Elephas maximus indicus: one gene and its partner. The protein of the gene in region 1 interacts with the protein of each later gene in a biochemical or structural test. Links are inferred from orthologs where the notes say so. Each region holds a gene or a part of one and is shown on either strand. Other genes may lie near its edges.

The links. The genes of interacting proteins can lie anywhere in the genome.
Region 2: the proteins of ARL2 (region 1) and UNC119 form a complex in vitro, tested with the Homo sapiens proteins (2 studies listed by BioGRID and IntAct, with this or other methods). The link is inferred for Elephas maximus indicus from reciprocal best matches to the Homo sapiens genes ARL2 and UNC119.

Annotation. Positions count from the first base shown.
Region 1 is NC_064825.1:128,183,837-128,191,861, forward strand, and holds the start of ARL2 (ADP-ribosylation factor-like protein 2), read left to right. Parts: upstream 1-4,991; 5' UTR 4,992-5,081; coding exon 5,082-5,146; intron 5,147-8,025. Other genes in the region: BATF2 (basic leucine zipper transcriptional factor ATF-like 2), read right to left, coding at 3,965-4,037, 4,750-4,769. UniProt on the Homo sapiens protein: Small GTP-binding protein which cycles between an inactive GDP-bound and an active GTP-bound form, and the rate of cycling is regulated by guanine nucleotide exchange factors (GEF) and GTPase-activating proteins (GAP).
Region 2 is NC_064837.1:23,334,091-23,341,910, reverse strand, and holds the start of UNC119 (protein unc-119 homolog A), read right to left. Parts: upstream 3,047-7,820; 5' UTR 2,959-3,046; coding exon 2,733-2,958; intron 1-2,732. Other genes in the region: PIGS (GPI transamidase component PIG-S), read right to left, coding at 4,700-4,975, 5,323-5,533, 6,343-6,443, 7,191-7,336. UniProt on the Homo sapiens protein: Involved in synaptic functions in photoreceptor cells, the signal transduction in immune cells as a Src family kinase activator, endosome recycling, the uptake of bacteria and endocytosis, protein trafficking in sensory neurons and as lipid-binding chaperone with specificity for a diverse subset of myristoylated proteins.

The DNA.
Region 1 (8,025 bases):
GCATTAAACAGAGCCCAATGTGTCTGTCAGTTTGTCATACTGTGGAGGCTTGTGTGTGCTGTGATGCTGGAAGCTATGCCACTGGTATTCTAATACCAGTACGGTCACCCATGGTGGTCAGCTTTCAGCTGAGCTTCTAGACTAAGACAGGCTAGGAAGAACGATCTGGTGGTCTACTTCTGGAAAAGAAAAAATAGCCAGTGAAAACCTTATGAATAGCAGCGGAACATTGTCTGATATAGTGCTGGAAGACGAGCCCCTCAGGTTTGAAGGCACTCAAAAGATGACTGGGGAAGACCTGCTGCCTCAAAGTAGAGTCAACCTGAATGATGTAAATGGAGTCAAGCTTTCAGGACCTTCATTTGCTGATGTGGCACGACTCAAAATGAGAAGAAACGGCTGCAAACATCCATTAATAATTGGAACATGGGGTGTACGAACCATGAATCTAGGAAAATTGGAAATCATCAAAAATGAAATGGAATGTATAAAGATCGATATGCTAGGTATTAGTGAGCTGAAATGGACTGGTATTGGCCATTTGGAATTGGACAGTCATATGGTCTACTATGCTGGGAATGGTAAGTTGAATAGGAAAGAGGTTGCATTCATCGTCAAAAAGAACATTTCAAGATCTATCCTGAAGTACAACGCTGTCAATGATAGGATAATATCCATATGCCTAAAAGGAAGACAAGTTAACACTACTATTCAAATTTACACACCAACCACTAAGGCCAAAGACAAAGAAATTGAAGATTTTTTACCAACTTCTGCAGTCTCAGATTGATCAAACATGCAATCAGGATGTATTGATAATTACTGGTGGTTGTAATGTGCAAGTTGGAAACAAAGAAGCATCAGTAGTTGGAAAATACAGCCTTGGTGATAGAAATGATTCCAGAGATCACATGACAGAATTTTGCAAGACCGACAAATTTTTCATCGTAAATGCCTTTTTTCAACAACATAACCAGCGACTATACATGGGGATCTTGCCAGATGGAAAACACAGGAATCAAACTGACTACATCTGTGGAAAGAGACAATGGAAAAGCTCAATATTATCAGTCAGAACAAGGCCAGGGGCCAACAGTGGAACAGGCCATTAATTGCTCACATGCAAGTTCAAGTTGAAGTTGAAGAAAATTACAACAACTCCACAAGAGCCAAAGTAGAACCTCGAGAATACCCCACCTAAATTTAAAGATCATCTCAAGAACAGACCTGATGCATTGAACACTAATGACCAAAGACCACACAAGTTGTGTAATGACATCAAAGAGGCCATTAAAAGGACAGGAAAAGAAAAAACCAAAATGGATGTCAGAAGAAACTTGCTCTTGAATGCTGAATAGAAGAAATGATGAAAGAAAAGAGCTGACCAGAAGATTTCAAAGGGCAGCTCAAAAAGACAAAGTACTATAATGACACGTGCAAAGATGTGGAGCTAGAAAACCAAAAAGGAAGAACACGTTCAGCATTTCTTAAGCTAAAAGAACTGAAAAAAAAAATTCAAGCCTCGAGTTGCAATATCAAAAGATTCAACGAACAAAAATACTGATTGACGCAGGAAGCATCAAAAGAAGATGGAAGGAATACACAGAGTCACTGTACCGAAAAGAATTGGTCGATATTTGACCATTTCAGGAGAAAGCATATGATCAAGAACCGATGGTACTAAAGGAAGAAGCCCAAGCTGCGCTGGAAGCACTGGCGAAAAACAAGGCTCCAGGAACTGACGGAATACCGACTGAGATGTTTCAACAAAGGGGTGCAGTGTTAGAAAGTAGTCACTTGTTTATGCCAAGAAATTTGGAACACAGCTACCTGGCCAACTGTCTTAGTCATCTAGTGCTCCTATAACAGAAATACCACAAGTGGATGGCTTTAACAAACAGAAGTTTATCCTCTCACAGTTCAGCAGGCTAGAAGTCTGAATTCAGGGCGTCAGCTCCAGGGGAAGGCTTTCTCTCTCTGTAGGCTCTGGAGGAAGGTCCTTATCATCAGTCTTCCCTTGGTCTGGGAGCATCTCAGCACAGGAACCTCAGATCCAAAGGACGCACTCTGCTTTCTTGGTGGTATGAAGTTCCCATGTCTCTCTGCTTACTTCTCTCTTCTATAACTCAAAAGAGATTGGCTTAAGACACTGTCTAATCTTGTAGGTCTCATCAATATAACTGCTGCTAATCCGTCTTATTACATCAGAGTGATAGGATTTACAACACATACGGAAATCACATCAGATGATAAAACGGTAAACAATCATACAATTATACAAGGGAATCACGGTCTAGCCAAGTTGACAGATACTTTTGGGGGGCACAATTCAACTCACGACACCAACCAACTGGAGGAGAGCCATATTTATGCCTATTCCAAAAAAACGTAATTCAACAGAACGCAGAAATTATCCAACAATATCATTAATATCACATACAGGTAAAATATTGCTGAAGATCATTCAAAAGCGGTTGCAGCAGTATATTGACAGAGAACTGCGAGAAATTCAAGCCAGATTCAGAAGACGACATGGAAATAGGGATATCATTGCTGATGTCATATAGAACCTGGAGGAAAGTAGAGAACACCAGAAAGATGTTTACCTGTGTTTTACTGACTATGCAAAAGCATTCAACTGTGTGGATCATAACAAATTATGGATAACATTATGAAGAATGGGAATTCCAGAACACTTAATCGTGCTCATGAGGAACCTGTACAAAGACCAAGAGGCAGTTGTTGGAATAGAACAAAGAGATATTATGTGGTTTAAAGTCAGGAAAGGTATAGGTTAGGGTTGTATCCTTTCACCATACTTATTCAATCTGTATGCTGAGCAAATAACCCCAGAAGCTGGACTATATGAAGAAGAATACGGCATCAGGATTGGAGGAAGGCTCATTAACAACCTGCGTTATGCAGATGACACAACCTTGATTGCTGAAAGTGAAGAGGATTTGAAGCACTTACTGATGAATATCAAAGACCACACCCTTCAGTATGGATTGTCCCTCAACATAAAGAAAACAAAAATCCTCACAACTGGATCAATAAGTAACATCATAATAAATGGAGAAAAGATTAAGTTGTCAAGGATTTCATTTTACTTGGATCCACAATCAACACCCACGGACGCAGCAGTGAAGAAATCAAAGGACGCATTGCATCGGGCAAATCTACTGCGAAAGACCTCCTTAAAGTATTTAAAACCGAAGATCCTCCCTTGAAGACTAAGCCATAGTGTTTTCGATCGCCTCATATGCATGTGAAAGCTGGACAATGAACAAGGAAGACTGAAGAATTGATGCCTTTGAGTTATGGCTTGGTGAAAATATTGACTATACTACGGACTGCCAAAAGAAGAAACAAATCTGTCTTGGAAGAAGTACAGCCAGAATGCTCCTTAGAAGCAAGGACAGGGAGACTTCGTCTCACATACTTTAGACATATTATCGGGGGGATCAGTCCTTGGAGGAGGCCATCATGTTTGGTAAAGTAGAGGGTCAGCGAAAAAGAGAAAGACCCTCAACAAAATGGACTGACACAGTGACTGCAACAATGGCCTCAAGCATGACAAAAATTCTGAGGATGGTGCAGGACCAGGCAGTGTATCCTTCTGTTATGCATAGGGTCTCTATGACTTGGAACCGACTCAAGGGCACCTAACAAGAACTCTGCTAGAAGTCCCTGGATGGTACAAATGATTAAAATGTTCAGCACCTAATGGAAAGGTTGAAAGTTCCAAGTCCACCCAGAAGTGCCTCAGAAAAAAGGCCTGGCACTCTATTGCAAAAAGCCAGTCATTGAACACCCTATACAGCACAGTTCTACTCTGACACACAAGGGGTCACCAGGAATCAGCATTAACTCCCCATCAACTGTTTGGTTCCTTTGTGCTGTCTACTCACACTTACCCTATAGTGAACTTGTGGAAGGGCTCAAAATAACACACGAGACTCACCCTTCTGAGCTTACAATCTGCTTGCTTCCTGGCCTCAGTTTCCTCAGTTTTTCTGGATCTCTTGGGTACTAAACTAAGGGAAAGAACCAAACTGTTGGACAAAGTCACTCATTCAACAGCAACTATTTATTGAGCATCTACTATTTGCCAGTCACTGTGGGCCTCAAGAAAACCCTGGTTGTGTAGTGGTTAATGTTTAAGTGCTACCGCTGCTAACTAAAAAAGGTCAGCAGTTCCAAGAATCCACGAGGCACTCCTTGGAAACCCTATGGGGCAGTTCTACCGCCCTATAAGGTCGTTATGAGTCAGAATCGACTGGACAGCAGCGAGTTTTTGGTGGGCCTCATTTTTGTCATCAGCAAACGTGAGATTGTTTTTCTTCAAAGGGAAACCATGGGCTCAGGCGGGACAATTCTTGTGAGGGTCTGTCCCCAGCATTGCAGGACACTACCTACTATCCCTGCTTCCCACCGTCTAAACGTGGGGGAATCTTCCCTCCGTCGCTGAATCAACCCAAAACACGCAACCCCACCCCACCCCGCACATTTCCAACGGTCCCTAGGGACCAATACCGGCATTCAGGAGCCTGGCAAGGGGGAGGCCCAATTCCTGTTCCGTCATTGGCAAATTTAGGATGACACCAAGGCCCCAAAAGAGCGGGATCTGGACCACGTTTCCGGGTAACAGGCCCTTACACAGCCTCCAGGACAGCCCCAGGTCATGAGGCTCTCGCTTCTGACTCCTGGGTCCCCGGCTGGCCACACCTTTTTGCAGGTACTCCCTACCTGGCCAAGATCCAACCCATGAACTTCAGGTTTCCGTTCCCGGCCGAGTTTTTGGGTCCTGGGAGGACGGAATAGACTCGCCCTCGCCCCCAACTGTCGGCCCTCGGGACGCGAAGGGTTAAGGCAGGTGGCCGCGCAGAAGCCGCGCCGCCGCTAGAGGGACCCCAGCAGAGACACAGCGCGGCCGCTCTGAGGTCACGTGGGGCAAGGGCGGGCCCAAAAAGGGCTGGCCAATGGGCTGTGCTGTCGCTGGGCGTGATAGCCAATAGGAGCAAGGAGCGGGGATCCCAGGACTAGGAAGAAACGGCGGCCGGGAGGGGGCTGCTGGGATCATGGGGCTTCTGACCATTCTGAAGAAAATGAAGGAGAAAGAGCGGGAGCTGCGACTGCTCATGCTGTATCCTCCCGGACGGCGGAGCCGCTAGGGTAGTGGGGTCCCAGCCGGGGGGCAGTGACAGACGCCCCCTACCGGGCGCGGGGTGCGCGGCCGGCCAGCTCGTACCAACTGCCCATTGTGCGTCACGCACGTGGGCCCTACCAATCGCTCGGGCTGGGGCCGAGAGGAGGCCGTACCATCGGCTCGGGGAGGGGGGACTCCAGTCCAGAGGCCAAAGGTGTGGGCCTAAAGGCGCAGCGGAGGGACCAGGCGTCCCAAGCGTAGCGGGGCGATAGGGCCCGGAGGTGACTCAGACGTCACCGTCCGGAGGCCTGGCACGAGCGTGGGACCGCTGTCCTCCCGGCTCTGACCTCTTCCCCCCTGTCCGAGGGTGCCGGCCCCGGCCCCGCCCCCAAACTCGGAATCCCGGGGACGCGGCCCCGCCCTCTGCTCCCGGGGGGCGAGGGTTGGTTCCGCTGGGCGGTTTGCTTGCGGGCTAGACTGTGTGTGACACCCCGCGGCCCCTCGGTGTCCCCGAAGCTGAGGACTTGTTAGCCCCAGGGTCCCTGCATTCATTCACCCTACTCTGTGTGGCGCAGTGGTAAAGAGTTCCGTCGTTAACCAAAAAGGTTGGCAGTTCGAATCCACCAGCCGCTCCCTGGAAACCCTATGGGGCACTTCGCGCCTTTCCTATAGGGTTACTATGAGTCGGAATCCACTGGACAGCAGTGGGAGTTTTACACTGTGCCGGGCCACGTGGGGCATCTGAGACCCACTAGTTGGGCCAGCAGAGAAGTCGCTTATGCGCGCAAATAATTTAAAAATATGCCCGCCGTGTTCATTTTAAAGATCCCGGAGAAAGGCGCAGAGAATTCACTCATTCAAGAAATACGTATTTATGGAGCGCCTCCTGTGTGCCATGTTTGCTAGGTAAAACAGCAAAACAAAGTTCTGTCCTCTTGAATGTTATAGAATGCCTGAGGGGAGAAAGATGATAAAACAAATAAAATATTTTTTGTGGGGAGAGAAGAATGCCGTTAAAATAGGGTGAGCCAAGAAAGGCTCCTGGAGATGACGGGTGAGTAAAGTGAGGGGTGAACTGTGTAATTACCTGGAGAAGACTAGTCAAGGCAAAGACAAGGGCAAGTGCAAAGGGCCCAAAAGGAACTCAGCTGGTGCGTTCAAGGGCAGTGTGACTGGAGAGAATGAGCAGGGAAGAGAGCACTAGAAGATTAGGTCAGAGGTGTCTGGGGAAGACAGTCCAGGCAGGGTCTTGTACAGAGGAGAAGAGTGGTCTGACTTTGGCTTCTGTGTTGCAAATAGAGGACATGGGTTAAGGGCAGAAGGGGGAGACCAGTTAGGGGTCAATCACGATAATGAGAACGAGATAGGATGGTGGCTTGGATCAGAGTGGAATCATCATAGTGATGAAGTAGGAAGGTAATGAGAGAGCAGGCAGGAATTGCTCCTGGATTGGCCAACGGTGTGAGAAAGCAAAGTCAAGCCTGACTCTTGGCTTTCTGGCCTGAGCAATTAGAAGAATGAGGAGCCTAGCTGACAGAGAAGACCAGGGCAGAGCAGGTCGGGACAGGGATGGAAGCTGAGAGCTCACTTGGCCATGTGAGATGCCTCTGAGACATCCCAGGAATGTCAGGGAGGCAGCTGGGTTTTGGGACAGGTGACCAGGGGAGCAGCTGGGCGAGAGGCATCAATTTGGGAGTCAACAGCATAAAGATGGTATTTGCAGTCAGGATCCTGGATGAGCTCACCTAGAGGGTGAGTGTGACAGAGAAGAGAGTGAAGTGTACTCCGTCCAATCAAGAGATCAGGGTGATGAGGAGGAGCAGCCAGGAGATATGAGGAGGCCCCAGCGAGGACATGTCTCAGAGCAAGGGCAGCATGGGTCAGGGAGTGAGAGACAGGCAGGTCTGTCAGGTGCTGCTGGTAGAGCTGGAAGATGGGAACCAAGCACCGACCAGCCATTGGAGAGCACAGTGGAGGTCTCTGGGGACTGACCATGGCAAGAGCAATTTTAGGGAGGCAGAGGGAGCAGAAGCCTGATGGAAGTGGGCTCTAGAAAGAGCAAGAGGGCAGATTGGGGAGAGTGATGGAGGCAGCGTTTCGAGGAGCTTTGCTGTAAAGGGAAGGAAATAAACAGCTAGCTGGAGAAAGGAGAGGGAACAAGAGAAGGTTTTGTTTGCTTTTTCTAAGCGGGGAGTAACAACAGTGAGGTTGTCAGCTGATGGGAATGATCCCGTGTGGAAGGAATCATGGATGATGCAGGGAGAGGGGAGAAATATCAGCTGCCAGTTATCAGGGGCCGTGGCTGGGTTTCAGGGCAGGTCCTCTCATCACCCCATTTCATGGCTTGAGTCACTTGCCCCAGGTAAGGTGAGCAATAAGAGGCTGAGCCCAGGGCCTGTGTCCCTCCACACACACACACACGCACACACACACACACACCACACACACACCACACAGAGCTACAAGTCCCCGTAAGTGTTGGAAGGAAAGAGGAAGGTTGTCTCTCCCACTTGGGGAACTCACCATTCCTTTGCACACTCATTCAGCAGTAAAGGGTTTGGTACATTCCAGAAACAACGAAGAAAGGGTAGGTGCCCCCAGTTATTTGCTCCTGCTGTTCCCTCTGCCTGGAATGCCCTTCCCCAGTCTTTCAGAAAACTGACTCCTTGTAGTTCGGGCCTCACCTCAAGACACCTTCTCACAGAAGGTGACCTTCTCAGAGCCTCATCATTGGGTTTCTGAAGCTCACCAGCATCTTAAGTTTCTCACTGGTTTGCACTTTTTCAGCTGTCTCCTTGCTCAATTGTGAGCTGCCCAAGGGTGGGGACTTTGTCCTCTTATCTGGGGTGCCCCCAGCATCCAAAAGGGGGCCTGGC
Region 2 (7,820 bases), on another chromosome or scaffold:
GCCAGTCCCCGTAGAGAAGAGTACTCCCCCACCCCATAGCTAGGCCAGGAAGTGGGCGTGGCAGGTGTGGTGAGGAGTGTGGATGAGGGTAAGGGGAGTTCTCAGGTCCAGAAAGGGAACCAAGAGCTGTGGTTGGGCCCTGCTGAAGAATTCTGGGAATAGGCCAGTCCTGCCCTGACCATCACTGCTCTTGCAGCAGCAACTGGAAGCGCTTGGAGAGGCCCTGGCAACAAATAGGGAGAGGCAGAGAGGTGCAGTGGGGGGCGCAGTGAGTTCAGCCCGCACAGCACCACATCCTCCCCTAGAGGCCCGGAAATCACCCCCCAGGCCCCTGGGCCACCTCCTATTCCTCTGGGGCAGGAAGAGGAAGTGAATATAAAGTCATTCTCTCTTTCCCAGCCTGCCTCTTCCCCAAGCCTGGGGTAGCTCCCTCCAGGAAGCCCTCCTGGCAGCCATCTGTCACCTTGGGGCCCAGCAGGGACTACACAAGGCTTGAGGAGGGGCCTGAGCCCTGGCCTGTCCACCACAGCCCAGGAGGAGAAAGGAAGGGAATAGCAGTGGGCAGTCCCTATCCCCAGCCTGTGCACACCTTGTCATCACAGAAAGCACTAGCCCAAAGATGTAGAAAGAAGGCACCGGGCAGAGGGAGAGGAGGTAGCAAAGCTGAGAACTGGATCCTAGTCACCCAGCTCCCAGCCCCTGGTAAGGCCCTCTCTTCTTCCCCACTCTCCAGCTTCTGGGGCCTCTCCTCTCACTTGTAACAACTTCTTGCAGTCTGACTCAGTCTCTCCGACTGCAAACTCAACCTATCAACCCCTTCATCCTTACAGGAAGTGAGGAGCGGGGGATGCCCATAGCTGAGAACAGCGCAGCCACTCCCTCCCTTCTGCCAGGGAAGGATGAGGCCTGGCACTCAGGGTCAGGCTAGAACAAGAGGGAAGCGGGGCTCAGAGCACAACTCCTCTCTTCGCTTCAGCCACAAATAGTTTCCTAAGCTGGATTCAGGGCCCGATAATCCAGGAACAGCAAGCCTCAGACCTGTGTGATTAGGGTCAGAAGGGACCAGGCAGGGAGTGCCAGGGCAGACAGCCCTGGAACCCTGTTTTCAATTCTGCAGAGGGGAGAGCTCCCATGAATCCCTTCCCCTACTTACAGATGCCCTGTCTCTATGGGCTATGAATTTCCTTCACAAGAGGAGACGCACGGTACATGGGACGTGGATTGGGAGCTCCCTGTAGTTACAAAGAACTCAGGCAGGCCAAACAGGTCAGCATGAGCTCCTGACATTCTGTGAAGAAGTTCTGCCCCAGAAATAAGCTGAACCCTAAATGCTGCTGTTGCCAACTACAGCCCAATTGGCATCAACATCAACCTGGTTCAGACCCCCTCCCTCCACCAGTGCCCGCTTGAGCAAGGGAGCTCAGCCCTCCAGGGGCCCAGCCAAGAATGGCTGCTGCCTGGCTCAGAGAGGAGGGAAGAGCTGGACCCCCAGAGACCTAGCTGCACAGGCCCAGGCCCGTCATCATGGTCCCCTCCACAGCTCTGTCTGGGAGCCTTAGGCTCTGCTGTTTCTGCAGCTCCAGGGCTCAGGTCCCCATGCCTGTTCCCCACCCCCATAGAAAGAGCCCCAACCGTTGCTGTCGCAGAGGGAGCCAGAGCAGGCAGCTGATGAATGAAGCCAAGGTGGAGAGCTACTGCCTCCCCAAATGCCTCTCGTTCTTCCAGACTCTGCCACGTCCTCCTTCATGAAGTCCCCTAGCCCTTGTCCCTTGCCCATGGTGACCTCCTGAATGCCTGAATGCCCAGTTTGCCTCCAGCCATGAACAGCCTGTGTGGTACCCTCAGTACTGTTGACAAAAGAGCCCTATTTACAAAGCAGTGTGTCAGGCACTGTGTAAAGTCAGAAGGTTAATTTTATCTTCGCAATAACCCTATGAGGTAGATGTTATTAAACCCATCTTACAGATGAAGAAATATGCTCAGAGAGGTGAGGTTACTTGTCCAAGGTCACACAGCCAACTATGTGACAAAGCTGGGACTCAAATCCAGCCAGTTTGGCTCAGAAACTCTTAACCACAGTGGAGAATAGGTCTCCATTGATTGGAGTCCTGCAGCACTGAAGGAGTACAGATCCTGGCCCAGGCTCGCCAGCATTAACCCACTCCTGTCAGGACCCAGAGCCAACCCATTGAGGCTTCCCATTCAGTTTCTTTTCCGGGGTGGGGGATGGCCCCAGTCTTCCTGGGGGGGGTCCAGGGTGACAGCATTAATGGTCAGGAAGACCTCAGTAGTCTTGAGTCCACCTAAGCAGCTCAGTCTCCACCTAGCCTCCAGGGGCAGGGGCTGAGGACAGGCTACACTCACTCCACTCCTCATCAGTGCAGAGCCAGGCCTCAAGGGGCTTTGAGGACTCCGCGGGGAAGGGGCCATAGTTGCAGCTGCTGCCCGACCTTCACCATGGGAAAGGGAATGAACCCGTCCCCCAAAATAATATACCTCAAAAGGGAGAGGAGGGGTACCCAGGGAGATCAAAGAAAGGGGGGCCATGGAGACCTCAGGCTTGGACGCAGGAGGGAGGGAAGCAAACGTAGAAGAGGGGGCCAAGAAGGGGGAGGGAATGCGGGGAGAGAGCCGGGAAGGGGGGCGGGGGCCGGGCCCCGCGCAACGAGAGGGTCCCCCTTCTCGCTCTTGCTCCCTGCAGCCGGCGGGCAGCGCTCCTCGCCGGTGCTCACCGCCCGTGATCCGCTGTAGTCCCAGCACGTCCTCCGGCCCGATCGGCTGCTTCCTCCGCAGTGGCCCCGGCCTGGGCCCCGGGTCTGCCTCCGGCTCCGACTCGGACCCGGATTCGGATTCCGCTTGCGACTTCGGCTCAGGTTTGGGCTCCACGCTCGGGCCTGAGGCCCCTAGAGCGGGCTCCGCCCCCGTCCCGGCCCCGTCGCCGCCCTTCTTCACCTTCATGGCCTCGCCTGCTGCCGCCGCCGCCGCCGCCGCTGCCTGAGCCAGCTGGAGCCGGGAGAAGGGTGAGCGGCCGCAGCCCCGCCCCGGCCGGGGCCCCAGGTACCGCTCCGCCCCGGCCCCCCGGCCCTTCCTCTGGGCTGGGTCCGGCACTGACTCCGCCCACGCGCAGGGCCCACCGGGGTCGGGAGTCTGGGGACCGCCCACCAGGGCTCTCATCCCCGCTAGGGTGAGGGCTGGCCCTGGGCTTCATTCATTTTCTGGAAGGTAATTCAGGGAGGTACTGCCTACCTCTCCTTCCACGCTGCGCTCCAGTCCCTGTGCCCTTCTCACTGCCCTTACAGTCCTCAAGCGAACTCCAGCCTTGGAGTCTTTGCCCAGGGTGTTCTCCCCCTATATGACCTCTTCTTGTCCTTTTGGTCTCACCTTAAATGTCAAAGGCCATACCTCACATCCAAACTAAAGTACACCCCCCTCGCCCCCAATCATTAACCAATTAGTTCATTTTTTTCTAATACATAACTGAAACTATTTTTATTTGCTCAGTCTCTTCCCCCTCAAAGACCAGCTAAGCCAAAGCGGACTGTTTTGTTCCCTATTATGGCCCCAGCACCTAGCAGAAGCCCACTGAGGCCTGTGCTCAATAACTTTTCCTTTGTTGAATGAGCTAGTACCTGAGGGCTTTCACTGGTATAAGCTATTCTCTCAGTTCCCTGCTAAAAAGCAGACGTAGCTGCTAACAGCCTTGTTGGGCAACCCAGGACACCCAGACGGACAACGGCCCAGGTGTCGGGCCACCAGAGCCCTACAAGACAGAGGGGCAGGAAGGGCACATGGCCAGATAGAGGCAAGGTGGACCTGTGAGCCCAGGAAGATAGATGCCAGAAAACGATTACTTACACGTAAATGAAGAATTAAAAGTATAGCCATACTTCATATCATTTCAATTCATATTCAACCAATGTTTATTGAGAGCCTAGTAGATGCCAGACACTTTCACATGATTTATCACATCTAATCTGCACAACAACCTTGTTAAGGGAGGTGTCATTAGTGCCATTTTAACAAATGAGGGAGCTCACTAGATGATAAATGCAGAAGCAAGGAATTCAGGCCTTTTTGATTTCAACTCTGGAACTTTCTCCACTGTACCATACCGCCCAAGCCTCTGCCACACACAGCACCAAGTCCTGAGCTGCTGCCTTCTGGACTCCTGTCTGTCTGGCTGTACCCAACAGGCGCAGCAAGCCAGGAAGGAGAGGCGTAAGGGAGGAGCCCCCGAGTGACCTGTGCCTGGGCCCCTTCCAGCAAAGCAGTGCTGGGGCTCTCCCTGAGGGGTTAGAGAAAACTGTGCAGGGTGGAAGGATCCAACCAGGGCTTTCCCTCATGCTGCCTTCTCGGTAACAAGAGGAGTGTGCTATGTTGAGAAACAGGGTAGAAGTACAAGCTGTCCTTGCCCCAGCTGGAGGTAGTCAGGTATCTTCAAGTTCAGGTCAGATAAGGAGACCGAGGTGATGCTACTATGACACTCCGGAGAGTATGAGGAGTGGGGAGGCAGGGAGACCTGAGCCCGGGGAATGGAAAGGGAAGATGAATCCATCTTGGAGTATTGCACTTCGGTTGCTGGAAAGGCAACAGAGGCTGGAAACAGGTCATTCGCAGCAGGCCCGATTTATGTGCCTCTCAATCTAACACCTCCCATCCTGGCCTGAAAAGAAGGGCTCCTACTGAGATTCTGCCCTGCTCAGTCTATCTTCTCAGGCTTCTTCCAGGACTTGCGGGTCTCCAGAAAGATCTTGAACAGGGATAGGAGGATGGGCACGGCCATAGGCAGGAAGAGTGGGATGTAGATGGCAAACTTCTGGTCATCAGGAAAATACAGGAGGTGGAGGAGTGAGGGGTCAAAAAAGGCACGTTCTGAGGACGTCACAGCTTCCTGGCTGGCAAGGAAGGCAGAGGCCAGGTGTCCAGTGGCCAACTCCTCTGCTGCCTTCTGGACTGCAGCTACTGCCCTGTAAACCTAGGAAGGAGAGAGAGGGTTAAAATAAGTCCTAGGCATGGTGGGGAAGGGGCTGGCCTTTAACCTGCCTTTGGCCTACCAGGGAGTTTGCCTGGAGTTCACCCAGGATAAATGGAGGTCAGTATAAAAGGGCTATGTGTGTATTTCTTAGGGTCTGCTTGAAACCTCTCATTCCCATTTGGACTCCTGAGGCTGGCACTGCCCTCTAGAGGAAGCCTGGGGCACTCAAGGATGGCATGCTCACACACACCCTGGACCTCAGATGGCTCTCTCCGGTTGCACCATATACTTTGGCCCTCACTGACCTCTCCAGTTCTAGGCCACAGAATCCGTCCCTGCCCACGTACCTCAGATGCCACATCATCCTTGATGACAATGTTGCTGATCTTGCCCAGAAGCTGGGCCAGGGACGTGAGGGTGGTCATAGCCGTGGCCAGGTTCTCCACTGACCGAGCCCAGAGCAGCCGGTCCAGCTCCCAGCTCATTAGCCCTTCACTCTTAGGCCCCGAAAACAGGCATTTGGGAGGCAGGTGGGGCTGAGCAATCCCAAAGAGCAGTCTGTAGGAACAGCCAAGTAAGATCAAGGTGGCTGAGACCAGAAGGTGGGAGAAGATGGCTAAGATTCCTGGATTATCTGCCCTAAGTCAATGACTTCAATCTTACCCTGAACCATAGGGGTTGTGGGGAAGTGTCTCAGAGTCTTGAAGAGTGAGCAACACCACCAAGCAATCCAGAGCCCCAAACCCTGCTTTCCCCAGAGTGTTTCCACTTTCACCTGTTTCTATATTGGCCATCCAAGACCTTGTTTGAAGAAAGCTTCCAGGGCTAAAAAACTTCTGATAACACCAACTGAGTTTAACCCCCTCACCCTTCCTTACCCTCTCTTTGGACAAATGGGGCCACTGGGACTTAAGAGTTAAGGGATGATCCAGGACCATCTTTAACAAAAAGGTATGTGTGCTATGCCTCTCGTCCTATACCCATGCCAGACATTGCTAATCAATCAGAAGAATACTCTTTTTCTGATGCGGCCAGACACACAGGACTTCAGGCAGCCACTCTCATAATCAATCAATTAGTACAATGAATTAATAGCTGTTTTCTTAAGCACAACTAATCATGCCTCATGGACCTGACATTCATGTCTACCTTTCTTAAATTGGGTTTTGCAAGCAACCAGACCTACTTAGAAAAAGGATGAAGCAATTCTTGGAAAGCTTTCTTGGCTTCCTGGTGGCTCTAGGCATAGCCCAGGTATCCCTGGCAAGGGAGATTTCATTCTGATTGCAATCCCCCTCTAGAGCCAAGGAGACTGTGGTCAGTCTCTCAGTGGCCATGCCCTCCGAATGGAACACCCAGGGCCTCACCGCAGCTGAGCCAGGAACACCTCCATCACTTGTACCATGTCCACCTCGACTTTCACCGGCAGCCCCGAGGCATTGTAGGCTGTGGGGTCAACGTTGTATACCTGAAAGGGGGAAGGAGATCACCATAACACTACATCAGGACTATGCACAGCTCTTCCCTAGGCACTCTGGAGGTCATGAGAGAAAATGAAAACACAGTCTCTGTTCTTTGGAAGCTATAAAACTGATGGCATAGCTAATACTTTTTGAGTAAGTGCTTGGTTGCTAAGCAAAAATGGCATCCCACTGGCAGCTTCGAGGGAGAAAAACCTGGCAATCTGCTCCCATAAAGATTTATAGCCTAGGAAACCTCATGGGACAGTTCTACTCTGTTCTATAGGGTCGCTATGAGTCAGAATCAACTTGACAGCATACAACAACTACTATTAGGAATTTACATAAAGTACCTCAATTATTCCCTCAAACGTCCTGTCAAATACATTTTTTAAATCTTATTTTATAGTTCTAAGCTATGAGAAACTCCCAGGCTAAAAGGGAGGCAAAGCTCCTAACCTTGCAAGACTCCCACAAATAGGGCCAGGACCTAAGATGTTCACAGAATAGTCCTAAATAAGTGCAAACTGCCAAGTGCAAAAGGGTCATATTGGCCATCAATCAGCACTGGCAAACACAAGAGAGTGGTGCTGGCAGAGGGAGGACAGGAGCACACAGCACCCTTGCCTCCTTGGTGCCTGCCTCTCCCGCAGACTAGGCCACAGAGGACACCTGAGGCAACAGAAAGAACGGTCTCAGGGATCATCTGTCTATCCCTGAAGCTTGGGCACTGGGGTCTGCAGTGTGATTGTTACCATAATGCCTCCCCAGCGGGGACTGTGGAAGGCGTTGGTGGCGACTGGAGTCCCATCCTTGTCCTGAATGTAGAGCGGGGAGTGGGCAAGCTCAGGCACGTACAGTAGAAAGTTGAGCACAGGGTAGAGGGAAGCAGCGCTGGACCCTGTGGGACAGAGAGAAGAGCAGATCGAACACCAAACACACCAGACCAAGATCTTAGCTCCAAGCCAGCCTCTAACTCACTGGTCACCCACCCTGGGCCTCAGTTTCCCCAACTAATACTCTCTGGGATATCCTCCAGTCTTGGGTTTCTGTGGTGTAGGACCTCTCAGTATTTTCCCAAGATGTGCCAGATGGATGGAGTGTGGTCCTAAGTCCCAAAATGCCCCTGGAATCTTCTTTAAGAGACCCCCTTTGCTCTCTTGGCCACTGCCACACTGTACCCACATTATTATACCTAGTTTTAAGCACAGGTATGAATCTGATCTCAAGTCAGTTCTCTGCTTAATTTTTTTTAAAGTCTACCCATTAATATCAAACTCCATAATGTGGTCCTTATTGAACAGTCTGGTATTTGCTGCTTGCCTTGCCAGCATCATCATTTCAGCCACGCTAAACTACTCTGTGCTCACTGAATGCCTATGCTG